Regions from separate parts of the Mus musculus genome. Here all the other regions are reported to be linked to region 3. The links are microRNA targets in miRTarBase. Many come from high-throughput screens and were not tested one by one. Region 3 holds a microRNA gene; each other region holds the end of a gene's coding sequence.
Evidence for each region. Region 3 holds the annotated microRNA mmu-miR-186-5p (CAAAGAAUUCUCCUUUUGGGCU, at 2,045-2,066, shown strand). A microRNA usually pairs through its seed, bases 2 to 8, with sites in the 3' UTR of a target mRNA and lowers its output. Matches are read on the target gene's strand: a 7mer-m8 pairs with bases 2 to 8, a 7mer-A1 pairs with bases 2 to 7 and ends in A, and an 8mer does both.

Region 1: miRTarBase lists Peak1 as a target of mmu-miR-186-5p. Seed matches in the 3' UTR shown: 7mer-A1 at 2,262-2,268.
Region 2: miRTarBase lists Sp1 as a target of mmu-miR-186-5p. Seed matches in the 3' UTR shown: 7mer-A1 at 1,899-1,905.
Region 4: miRTarBase lists Stk32a as a target of mmu-miR-186-5p. Seed matches in the 3' UTR shown: 7mer-m8 at 2,232-2,238.

The regions. Positions count from the first base shown.
Region 1 is chr9:56,203,996-56,207,093 of GRCm38, forward strand. Peak1 (pseudopodium-enriched atypical kinase 1) reads right to left here. Exons shown (of 7, transcript NM_172924.3): 7 at 1-3,098. The coding sequence ends at 2,453. Among named protein-coding and RNA genes, the nearest start is that of Peak1os, 36 kb to the right of the region's middle.
Region 2 is chr15:102,430,482-102,433,582 of GRCm38, forward strand. It overlaps Sp1 (trans-acting transcription factor 1), which reads left to right. Exons shown (of 6, transcript NM_013672.2): 6 at 244-3,101. The coding sequence ends at 551. Among named protein-coding and RNA genes, the nearest start is that of Amhr2, 13 kb to the right of the region's middle.
Region 3 is chr3:157,542,241-157,545,341 of GRCm38, forward strand. It overlaps Mir186 (microRNA 186), which reads left to right and starts at 2,039; the gene lies at 2,039-2,109. It overlaps Zranb2 (zinc finger, RAN-binding domain containing 2), which reads left to right. Exons shown (of 10, transcript NM_017381.3): 8 at 918-1,004; 9 at 2,724-2,882.
Region 4 is chr18:43,314,693-43,317,793 of GRCm38, reverse strand. It overlaps Stk32a (serine/threonine kinase 32A), which reads right to left. Exons shown (of 13, transcript NM_178749.3): 13 at 313-2,739. The coding sequence ends at 2,640. Among named protein-coding and RNA genes, the nearest start is that of Gm31647, 66 kb to the right of the region's middle.

The DNA.
Region 1 (3,098 bases), not on the chromosome of region 3:
ACAGAATTAACTCCTGTCTCTAGAAAGTCGGACGCTCTTTTCCTATTAGCTGGTTTTCATCTTTGTCCTTCACTAGTGCGGTCATAAGAATAGTGAGAGTCACGTGGAGGGAGGATGCTCAGCTTACCAATGCAGTGAGACAATGGTAGCAGAAGTGTGCACACTTTTTCTACTATAGTGTGAAAGAAGGCTGGATCTAAGATAACAGGAAAAAAAAGAGAGAGATTTCTACAGACAGAACAAACAGAGGAGCCTAGGGAACATTCTGCATTAAATATGTAACCTCATTAAATAGTCAACATTCAGATTTACATGGGCAAGGCACCATGAGCGTGACGTGGAGAAGGTATGTCTCAATCTGCAAGTACTGTGGAAAGTGAAGGACTGTGCCCGCTGACATGGTCAGTGGTCTTTATGCAGCCAGTTCAGTGCATCATTAGGCAGGGAGTTCTGTGACCATGGGCTATGTAAGCTGACTCAAACCCTAGCCTGCTGGGCATGGTGCAGCCATGACTCATGGCTGCCCTCTCCATGGTCATTCTGTGTAGGAGACACAAGACACTGTGGGCCAACCAGCTCTCTTTCCTGGGAGTCCAGAGCACTAGCCAGGAACACAAGCCACCCTCCATATGCAGCCTCACACATACCGTTCTCTTTTAAAATGCATAATAAAATACATTCTCCTTTTTTGATCCTCTTTGATAAAGGTGAATCATGTGAAAGGCTGTTAAAAATGTTAAAAGTCTACAAGTTTCCAAGGCCACTAAGGTGCCACCCAAATAATACTGCACAAAATCAGTCTTGGCTTTAAGACAACTCGGCGCTGGTGGACCAGGGCTTTCTGGGTTTTCTTCACTGGCAAGGTATACAAAATGGATCTGTCTACCCCACTGTAGGTTGCTTTCCCAGAAGCCTAGCTCCAGCATGTGCATGCAACATGGTTGGTTCCACACGCATACTCACTTACCATTCAAGTGACTCTTGGGATTTCAAGGGTGAAGTAAACAGAGACTCACAGTTTTGAATAAAACAAGCACATGAGTGTACATACACACAGGTGGAAAGGACACTCGCCTCTTAGCGCAAATATGTGCCAAGGGAAGACAGAAAGGCTTCTGCAGTTCTCACTCATGGAAAGTTGCAACATAAACACTGTAATATACAGCTTAAAAATACATACAAAAATTGCACATAATTCACGGGAGAGCCCGGGCTCCACGGGGAACAACTCTCAGTCACCCACTGCAGCCATCAGCCTTCCTGTGAGCCGAGCTCCAGACCCACTGCAGAGTCTTAGGAGCAACGTGCCACTCACTCTGGGAGGCAGTCTTTCTGGAAGAGGCTCGCACTCCGAGGAACAGGTCAGCCATCTTCGTGACCTTTCCCATTCCCCTTGTCTTCCGGCCATTCCAATAGCCAGCTTCGGGTAGCTTTCTAAGGTGATGGTGACGCTAAACGGATAACCATCTCACTCAGGGCTGTTGCCGACAGCATTTGGCAGACTAGTTAATACCGGCTTACTGACGGAAGGAAGCTGGCCAATTACTGCTTGTGGGGGAAGAAACTCTGACTCAGACAGACACCACCAGGCCTGGCTGCCATGCGGGTAGGTCTGACAGGAATCAAAGAACAGTACTTGAAAGTCTGTTCCCTGAGGGCCCCTGGAGAATTGCACACATAAGGACATTATTTCTTCATATCCTGCCAACTATTCATAATCTCTGGACTATATTTCATCCTGCTGAGGCATCGGTGATACCACCTTTGGTCAGCTTTGTAATGGGCCACCACAAGAAGTGAATGATAAACCCAAACTTCAGCAGGCGGGACAGGGTGAAGGTGAAGGACAGTGAAGCAGTGGCAGCAGGGTTGCGGCTGCCGGGTGGCTCTCTATGTAGGGTCCCCTCCTTTCACTGTATGCCAGAGCAAAGGCTAGTCCCCAGTGACTACAACGGAGCCAAGAAGGATAATGGGATGTCCTCTAGGGAAAGAGGTGGTCACTTCAAGGGAGAGGAATCTGCTGTGAGAGCATTAGTGGGTGACAGCTGAGGTTGGTGATGTGTGTACTGCTAGCTAGTTAATGCAGGCGAGCTTCAGAGTTATGGAAGAGGTGTATGCAGCTTGGTGAGATCATTCCATGGGAGCTGCTCCTTCATGGCTGTGCATTTTTCACTTTTTACCCCACATTTGTGAGACTATTGGGATGACAAATGCTCCAAGGGAAGGTGACTGCATGTTTGTGCAGCTGAACTGCTGTACAGTAAAGAAACACTCAGCCATTCACTGTAGAAAGCTGTAGGTGACCTTGCTGAATGGAGCCCATGTCCCTGGACAAGGGTGGCAGTTGGCTTCTTTCCTTTCCTTAAATTCTGAGTGGATACCAGGACAGGGACATGAGGGTAACATGAGGAAGGTGGAGATATTTAACAATAAAAGCAATGCCCGGGCCATATTAACGGTATTGCAGGATTTTTACAATATAGCTCAGGGAGTCTGTAGTGGCAAAGGCCAGATACTGAGCACAAAGCCAGTCCTCCAGGCTGATGCCCCCCTCTCTGTCCAGGGACTTCTCCGCGAACTTGATCATCAGCAGGGTTCGCTTGATGTCTAACCAGTTTTGGAGCAGAGCGTTCTTCTGTGCGAGGGTTGCAGAGGTGGTGAAGATTTGAAAGAGATCTTCTCGGGGGCCCCAGAGCAGACATTGGAGGATGCCTTTGGCGTCAGAAATGAGGATGCGCTCAGAAGGGTTGGGATTCAGGAGGCAGCTAGCAAGCTGCTGTAGACCCCAGGAGTACGGGGAGCGGAGAGGGATCCGAGGCAGATCTGTGCGCGTGTACTCCTTCTCCTTCAGCTCCGGGTTCTCGTCAAAAGGGTTGGGCAGGTGCAGCATCTCATAGATGAGAATGCCCGTCTGGAATTCATCACACTTCTTATACTGGGTGGCCGTGATGATCTCTGGGGCAAGGCGGGACTGGTCTCGGAGGATCTGGGGGTCCACCAGGTGGCTCTTCTGCTTGGCCTGAGAGAAGTTACTCACAATGAGCCTTGTAGGACAAGCTAAGGTGGGGCAAGGGTCTGCAGGAGAAGGGCCCTGGGCA
Region 2 (3,101 bases), not on the chromosome of region 3:
TCCTCTCTCTTTCTACCTTCTCTCTTTCTGTCTTTCTATAATAAAGCTCTAAAACCATAAAAAGAAAAGAAAAAAGAAATGATATGCCCATGAAGCAAACTGAAATTCCTAAACAATGTATATGTGAAACTAAGCGTGTCTCCAAGAGTACTTGAATTAGTCCAGAAGGATACACATCAACCTCAACTTTGTTCTGACTGCTTTTTGGCTAATTTATCTTTTTTTTTTTTTTTTTTAAACTAGGAGAGAAGAAATTTGCCTGCCCTGAGTGCCCTAAGCGTTTCATGAGGAGTGATCACCTGTCAAAGCATATCAAGACTCACCAGAACAAGAAGGGAGGCCCAGGTGTAGCCCTGAGTGTGGGCACATTGCCCCTGGACAGTGGGGCAGGTTCAGAAGGCACTGCCACTCCTTCAGCCCTTATTACCACCAATATGGTAGCCATGGAGGCCATCTGTCCAGAGGGTATTGCCCGTCTTGCCAACAGTGGCATCAACGTCATGCAGGTGACAGAGCTGCAGTCCATTAATATCAGTGGCAATGGTTTCTAAGATTAGACACCCAGTGCCAGAGACATATGGGCCAATACCCACTAAGCCCGGGATGCAAGGTAGCATGGGTCCAAGAGACATCTGGAAGAGAGAGCCATGAGGCATTAATGTGCTTGGTGGTAGGAAGAATTGGGAGATGGTACAAAAAAAAGAGATGGGATTGTGGCACCCAATGTCACTGGTGACTCCTTGAAAATGGAAAATATTAGTGAAAATTCTGTTGGTGCCACCCTTTGATCAGCATTTATCTCATCCCAGGTTCTTCTTACACTTCTTACCCCAGCCTCCTCTTCCTGTTTTTCCCTCTTAGCTCTCCCATGATGGATTCCCCCCCCCTTTTCCTAAAGCCATCATGCCTTGATAAATATATATGATCATTGAAATACTTTTTAACAAAAACAGATTCTATATTATATATATATATATATATTAAAAAATATATAGAGATGCTTTCACAGGGGCTGGCTGGGAGGAGGAAAAAGACCATTCTGTGACCAAAATACCTTGGTCTTTTTTTCTTTTCTTTTCTTTTCTTTTTTTTAAAAAAATTGCCTTATTTCTCAATGGCTGAGCCTTATCATGACACATCAAGCTTTCCTTATAAATGTTGTCCTGGCATCCCACCAGAGTAAGCATTCATACTTTCTGCTTTTAGTTCATATATACATATATAATGTGTCTTCTTTCTTAATTTTGTTATTTTATTTGGGATCAGCTCCTTGCACTCCTTTCCTGACTTAATCCTTGTCTCCCTTTCCTCACACGATCACTTCCTGTGTTGTTTTTGACAGTGATTCCTGGATTAGGCACTTGTGTTAATATTTTAAAGACTTTAGTTCCAGCAACAGAGTGGAAAAGCCTGAAGTATAGTCTGATGCTTGAAGTAGCTATGGAGGGAGTGTTCAAAATACTACTGACGCAAGCACCTTAGTGCTGGAGAGTCAAAACCATCTCCCTTTTTTAGCTGTTCTAAACATCAGAAATCAGAAGTCTTTCTGTGGAATTGTACAAGAGGCCCTTTGAAGGAGATATACTTCCAAAATGGTCAAATAGTAGGCAGCAGCTTTCAGTATGAAAAAGATGTTCTCAGAAAAGGAAATAACTCTTAGTCTTGGGTTCAGAAGTTAGTGGAATTATTCGGATTTCAGTATCATTGTCTTCCAAATAGCTATAAGCCTCAATGTATGGGCTTCTGAGTTCACACTCTGAAAGGAAGTACACTTCCTCTTTTGAACATTTCTGTAGTTCCTTCCTATTACTGTTTTAATGTTAAGGAGCATCAGCCAGTGAACCTGTTTGGATTTTCCATCCTGTAGAGTGCAAAACTTGTGCCAGTGGCAAAAGTGGTTCTTTAAAAAAAAAAAAAAGTCCCCCTTAACTCTTCCTTAGATATACTTGGGTGGTTCCTAAGGGAAAGGGAAGCACACAATCATGGGAACGATAGCCCAGAACAAAAAGAAATCTTGTCTTACCACTGTGGATTATAGGAGAAACTGGGAGAAATTATCCTGCTTTCTCTATGGCCTGATTCCAGAAGAGACTGATCCAAACATTTTATCGGCAGGGAAACTCAGTGCGTTTGGCACTGAGACTTAAATGCAACCAGAATTGTCCTCAAGGCCCAGCCATTAAAGCATTGTCTCTCTAGACCTTGTGCTATCTTGTCAGAGAGCTTTTCACTGTGAGGAAGTATGGGAGTGGTTGAGTGTATGTGTGAGATCTGTTAGGTTGGGGATAGGTTTTCTGTTAGCCAATATTTAAAGAGACCTGCAATAAAAAATTACCCTGATCTGATAGAGAAACTAAATTGTTTTTGTATGACTGCGTGTGAATGTATTTGTGCCTGTATATATCTACATGCAGATGAGAACTTATATTTGAAATTGTTGGAAAATAAATTCAGATCAAAACGCCTTTCAGGTCCAGTATCTAGAAATTGGTCATAAAACTTGGGTATGTTCCTAAGGTCAGTTCTCTGCTTATGCTAAATCGGTTAACAGTTATGGGGTTGGGGGGATATCCTAGTGCACTTTCTAAAGAAGAAACTATTTTTGTGTTTGAAAATGAAATCAACATCCAAATCTATAGTGGATTCCTTATTCTAACTTCTCTATCTTGGCTACAAATAGATTATAGTGTTATTATACATTTTATGTAAATTCCATCTAAACTAGGTTCTTGATAAGTTTATGGTATTGTTAGCTTGAAATACTAACATTAGTTTATTCCATTTGGTCCTTTCTATGCAGACTTAATACTGTTATCAAGACTCAGGAAATATTTCAAGGGACTGTCCCCAAATCACATGTTATTAATGTTGACGTAAAAGTTATCTGTCCTCAGCCACCATCACACCTTTTATTCCTAAAGAAAAGCAGAACTCAAACAAACCGTGTTATTTTACATTTATAATCATGTACTTTGCATCTCTGGAGGAAGAGGGCAGGATAACTCAGTGGAGTGTGCAGTATTTTGCTAGAAAATTTCAAGAAATAGAATCTTGTTCAGTATGAGGTGATTAGTTACAAGCCGGCTTCGAGATGCTGAGGA
Region 3 (3,101 bases):
TCAATCTTCTGAATAGAGAATAAATCTAACCATGATGCTAATTGCTTCCAGAGAGTCCAGAATATTTGGGTGTTTAAAACATGCATTTGATATTATAATTAAAACTAAACAATGATTTTCTATGGCACAACATTCATTAATGGCCAATTTTTAATGATATTTGAGAAGAAAATATGTTGCCAGCTACTTAATTTGTACTATAAAGCCTAAAATGCTAATTTTGGGGGCTGGAGAAATATACCTCAGTGATAGATACTTGTCTAGCATATATGGGGCCCTAGGCTCAATTCCTAGTCCCTCCCCTCTCCCCCAAAAAAAGTTGATTCTGAGATAACTGTGATAGTCTCTGTGGGAACAAACTAAAAATGGTGTCAGGGATGTCATTTGTGGTTTTCAGAGTGTGAGGGCTAGATTTTCCCTCGGCTCTACAGTCTGTTAGTAATGTAATTCATGTAGAGCACTGGGTTGTTGAATCTTTAGTTCTCTAAAAATGAAGGCTAGACATCAAAATGTGATATAGCAGTTAGGGTTTTCTGCTTACTAGACTGGAAATAGGTTTTCAAATGAAAATGAAAAGTGAACTGGAGAATCTAAATGTAAATGTGACGTTGTCTGCAGTGAGCTGTGAGGTGACATTGTCTGCAGTGAGCTATGGTGCTTGTTACTTCCCTTTTGGCAGTTTAATTGGGCTTGGAAAGTGGTCACTGAAACTTTTAATTTTTTTTTCCTTGTAAACTTAGTCTTTATTACAGTAAGAAGCTTTGTTTTAAGTATTTTTGCTTGGAAAATGCATCTCTTGCATAGACATCTTTTTATGTGAAAAATGCACTCTTAATATATGTCTTTCTTTCAGTGTTCATATCACAAACCTCAAAAATGTGGTCCTAGGGGAAAAAAATGCTTCCGTGTTGTTCCAGGTCCCGTTCAAGAAGCTCTTCCAGTTCGCAGTCCAGGTCTCACTCCGGTTCCAGAGAACATTCCAGATCCCGTGGTTCGAAATCAAGGTGAATGAGGTAGCGCCTCTGTAGAGCAGAGGAGAGTGCTCACAGGCTTCAGACGGCTCCGCTGCTTCTCTCATTGCCCTGCTTCTGTTTGTCCGTTCTGTTGTAGCCCTGGGAATCTAACGCACCTACCTCAGCTTAATCTCACCACACAGTGTTCCCACCGCACAGCGTGCCACACATTCCCACGGTTGATTAAAGGGGGTGGGGCTTGCACATATAGCTAAGATACGTGTGATGTAGGAAGGTGAAGGCAAGTTACTCCACCTGGTATATTAAGTTTATGTTTACAGTTAATTTAAATTTGACATACAAGTGAGAAGTTATTTCTGAGAGGAAGACCAACCATTCCATCATCTAGCTTCGAAACATTTTATATTTCAGGCAAATGTTTACAATAGCTTTGCCTGGTTTTTCTCAGTTTCTAGTGAGTGCTCTATGTATTTACTACATCTCCCTGACATTAAAGAATATTATAAATTACCTGTATAACAAACACCCCTCTTAAAACCAAGTCATGTAGGATGTTGGCTTAAGTATGGTTTGATATAAGCCATGCTGTGAGTATTTCAAAGGAAAATGATTGGTTAAAAAAAAAAAAGGCAATAGAAGCATTAGGCTTTTGGTTCCTTGAAAAACTTTTTTGTACTTGCTCACTATGCTGCCTTCATGTTCAGTCACTGTATTGTTGTGTCCTGCAGGCATACAGCATTTATACGAAAGCCTCTAAAATCTCACTTGTGGCTTTTACATTGACGTTTCCTAACAACTCTTCTGTAGAAAGACTCACTTACTTGAGCCCATTCTAACATTTGAAGGCAGCTGCCATTGAGTCCCCCTGAGGAGAGAGAGGGGTAATGGAGCACTGACCAGTGCTCTGCTGACCAGCGCTGAGTAGAGCAAAGGTTTCTTTCTTATTGCATTAACTATCCGTGCTCACTTCAGACTGTGGAGTCTTGGTGTGGCCCTCTGGGAACTGTAGGACTGAGGTTTACAGGACAGCCTTCATATCCTTCCCAAACATTTAATTGCTTACAACTTTCCAAAGAATTCTCCTTTTGGGCTTTCTCATTTTATTTTAAGCCCTAAGGTGAATTTTTTGGGAAGTTTGAGCTAAATGCCTTCAACTAAAAATATGTAAATAGAGATAAATTTGCTCTTTAAATTACACATTTACTTCCACTTAAAACATGTAAATGTTACTACTTCATACTTCATAGCACAGTTCTCATACAAATCACATTGTAGAGTTGCCATTTTCATTGACTACTTCACAGCTTCAGTGTTCTTTTTCTGGGCCATGTCCCTCAGGTGTCTGTAGCACCTGTAAGAAGTTAAGTTCATTGTCTTCAGCAAGCTTTATAAAAAGTGAATTTTCCTGACAAATGGGAGGATCTATTTTCTGACTATAAAGTCACCACAGAATTGATTTCACTGTTTGTATACTTTAAATTGGAACACTATAAGCAATTATAAAAATATTCTGTCTTAATTCAGTAAACTACTTCTTAATTACCAAGGGTAACTATTTAGAATGGTTTAAAGAGGAAATGATTGTGTGTAAATAGAACTTGTTGATGGTTGACCCAGAAGCCTTCTGAGTAAGCAGTAAGTATTCCCTCCTAAAGTCCTCATAGTCACAATCCTGTTTGCTTTTGGGAACTGGACAGTCTTCACTTCTGCCTTTAATGAAACGTCTGCTTTGTCTCTCAATCAATGAAGATCCAGCTCCAGGTCCCACAGGGGCTCTTCTTCCCCAAGAAAAAGATCTTATTCGAGTTCTTCGTCATCTCCTGAAAGAGACAGGAAGAGGAGTCGCTCTAGACCTTCTTCACCAGCTGTTCGCAAAAAAAGACGAACGAGATCACGGTCACCCGAAAGGTTTGGGTTTCTGTAGAATAAGAATGGGTGTTCTTATGTGTATTTCATAGGTGGACTTTGTAGGCAAGGGTTAGATTTCTTTCTCCTTTGTTCTTTAAATTTTTTATCTTTAAACTTCAAAATTCAGATTACTTTGTTTATCTTGCTTATTAGAAAAAAATTACAGGACAGAATATTCTCTAATCATTTTACTGTTCAAATTTTATTTCCACGTATATT
Region 4 (3,101 bases), not on the chromosome of region 3:
ATGTGGCTGTTTCATCTGTTGGGTGCTAACTTTGAGCTGCAGTTAGGAAATAAGACCAAGAAGTATTTACTACGAGCTCTTGGAAAAGTTTTCTGTTGTTTGTTTTGTTATTGATGCTTTTCCTCTTCTTTAAAAGGTACAGCAGTAGGTGGTGCTCAGAACCAGCTATTCTGCACAGCCGGATTCAGTGATTCTGTCTCTGGGGATGCTGGGGATCTACCCAGGTCTTCGTGCATGCTAAGCACAGATTCTACTACTGAGCCACAGCCCAAGCACAATGGATTTCTTTTGTGTGTTTGTTTGTTTTTTTTTCCTTTTAACTGACCACACACGGTGTGCCTGTCATTGACCCACCTCCCACCCTGCACTTTCACCAGCATATCCCCAGTTCTGAAAGCAACCGTGCTCAGAAAGATGCCCACTGGGAAGAAAAACTAGAGATTTGAACTTGAGACCTGCTGGCCCTGCTGGCCTTTAGAACGATTTGAAAGCTGCTGTTTTGGAGGATGCAGGCAAGGTCCAGGAGAAGGTGGGGCCAGGTGAGGGCAGGTAAATCCATAACACCTCTAACACGTTGGGTCTTCAATACAGAAGAACAAAAGGCAAAAACTGGAGCATGCATGTGGTCCCTGACACTTGTGGGGTATCAGCCGGGAGCAGAATCGAGTCGTCTCTGGGTTGCTATGTTTGACCCATTCATCCCTCTGAAGGTCAGGGCAGATGCTTTGAGATAAACAGTGATGGAATATGACCAAAATGTCACAAATAAAACGTCAGACAGAACCTCAGAGACAGGAGCTCAATAAAAGAGGTGGGTTTTGATTCTTAAAAATGTGCGTGTGCGTGTACGTGCTGGCGTGCGTGCGTGCGTGTGCGTGCATGTGCGTGCATGCATGCGTGCGTGCGTGTGCGTGCGTGCGTGCTTGTGTGCGTGCGTGCGTGCGTGCGTGCGTGTGTGTGTGTGTGTGTGTGTGTGTGTGTTTGCTCTTAGTAGAGAGGCACTATGTCCCAACCACGCCAGAATCTGGCGAACTGTAAATGCCAGTCTTACCCTCAGCTCTTGTTTTCGACACAAACTTTCTTGCCCCAGTAGCTACCCTCTACTTCCATGTCTGCCTTTCCCAAATGATATCAATCAATCAAGCTGGTCACTTGGACCAGCTTGCTGCCACCATGGCTATGCCTGTACTCTCCATAAGGAATACCATTAATGGCCTCGGTTTCCCCAAGAGTTGAAAACATGCTTTGTAAAGCCACCTACGTCATGATTCTACCTAGCGTCACCAGTGGGGCACTCGAAGAAGTTCTTCAAAGATCTTGTATGCGTGAGCACAGGGCAGTTACAACACATACACAGTTAAGGTGACTGACACTCTGCACATGAGTGAAATACACAGACAAGAAAGTGTCAGACTTCAACAATATGTTAAGCAGCAGGGCAATTCTGCCAGCCATCTCACAGTGATTACATAACGTGGGGGCATCGGTCTCCCTGAATTTGACCTCTGGGATCTATAAGCCATCCTGCTTCTTTAAGTGTAACTCTTGAGTAGATATGTGTAAATTGTTCCCTATTTTAGTTAACCAATACAAAAAATAAAGAGCCAAACAACACAAAGACGTGATATATTTCTTGACAAAAAAGCAACTGACTTTTTTTCCCCCTTCACTTTGTAGAGTTAGGAGTTTCAAGGGAAAGTTTGCTTGCTTCCAAAACTCCTGGAAATCTCTCCTGTGAGGTGTGACTTCACTGAATAGTTCCAAGTAACTCTACCTGTAGTTCAGGAGTACTCTCTGATCCTCTGGAGAAGCAGGTCTCTGCTAACCTTGAGGAAAATTAGCCTTCAAGGGACAAACATACCAGAGTCTGATATTTTACAACTGCCATGTTGGAAAAAAAAAAATGTGTCCCAACTCCCAGCATTTGCTAAACTTCTGCATATGACTCCTCTCATCAGAATCAAGTTTAACTGATCAAGGCCACCTCACACAAGAGAGCGTGAGAGGCCATGCACATAGTAGGCACTTGCAAACAGATTCCGTGCCCATCCAGTTCCCCACTTCAAGATCTCATGAGTCTTTGCTACTTCTAATCTAACCTATGTATTTATTCCCGATGGAACATCTTTATTCCTACCTAATCAAGCTTTGGAATTCTGGCCCCTGTGTGATATTCTCTAGCCCTGAAGAGGCCCACTATGTACAGTGTCCATGTTTCACAGTGTCATCAGAAAGAATAAAAAATAAATCTACATTCAAATATTCATTTAAAAATAAGAATAAAGGCTGTTTAGAGCAATCTGTAGCCAGAGCAAAGAGTAGCTCTCCTGAAATATCCCTCTACCTTCCAAGCGGTGAACTAAAACAGAGGAAGCAGTTAAATGATTCACTTAAGGTCACAGAGTCAATGCGTGCTGAAGCTGGAACTGAAGAGCTCAGAACCAGGGCTCTCTTCCTCTCCTGTCGCTGCAGAGTGCTGCCACCAACTTCGAAGACTACTCATTCATATTCTCTAAGTCATGAGGTGTGGCAGTGGCAGGGACTCCTGTCAGCTCTTCTGTGTGTGATAATCAGGACTTTCCCGCCAGGTGCCAAGAACTGTCCCCCGAAGCACTGTCCCCCGAAGACTCGGAAGCACTTTATAGGTTGTTATTCTGGCCGTCCTCCTCCTCTTCTGTGTTGTTTTTGGTTTGTTCCAAGGCTAGATTTGCTTGTCTCTGATTAAAGTCACTTTTTACTCTGAATGGAGGGAAGGATGGACAGAGGGAGGGTGAGAGGGAGGGGTTAAGGGAAGGAGGGAGGGAGAGAGTGTCATTCATTAAAGGAAAAATGAATTTAAACTTTTGAAATGATAACGTGTAGTCCAATATTTTTCATTCTTTTAAAACAATTAAAATATGATTCCATCATTTCTCCCTCCCTTTTCTCCCTTCCGCCCTTCTCGTGTCTGACCCAGCCCCTCCCAAATCAACTGCCTTCTCCTCTTTAAACATTGTTGATACAAAAAACAAATGAATAAATATATGGATACAAGCTGCTGAGTTCATTCGGTGTTGCCTCAATTTATAAAGAAGTCTGAGCTAAGACAGCTTTTACAAGTC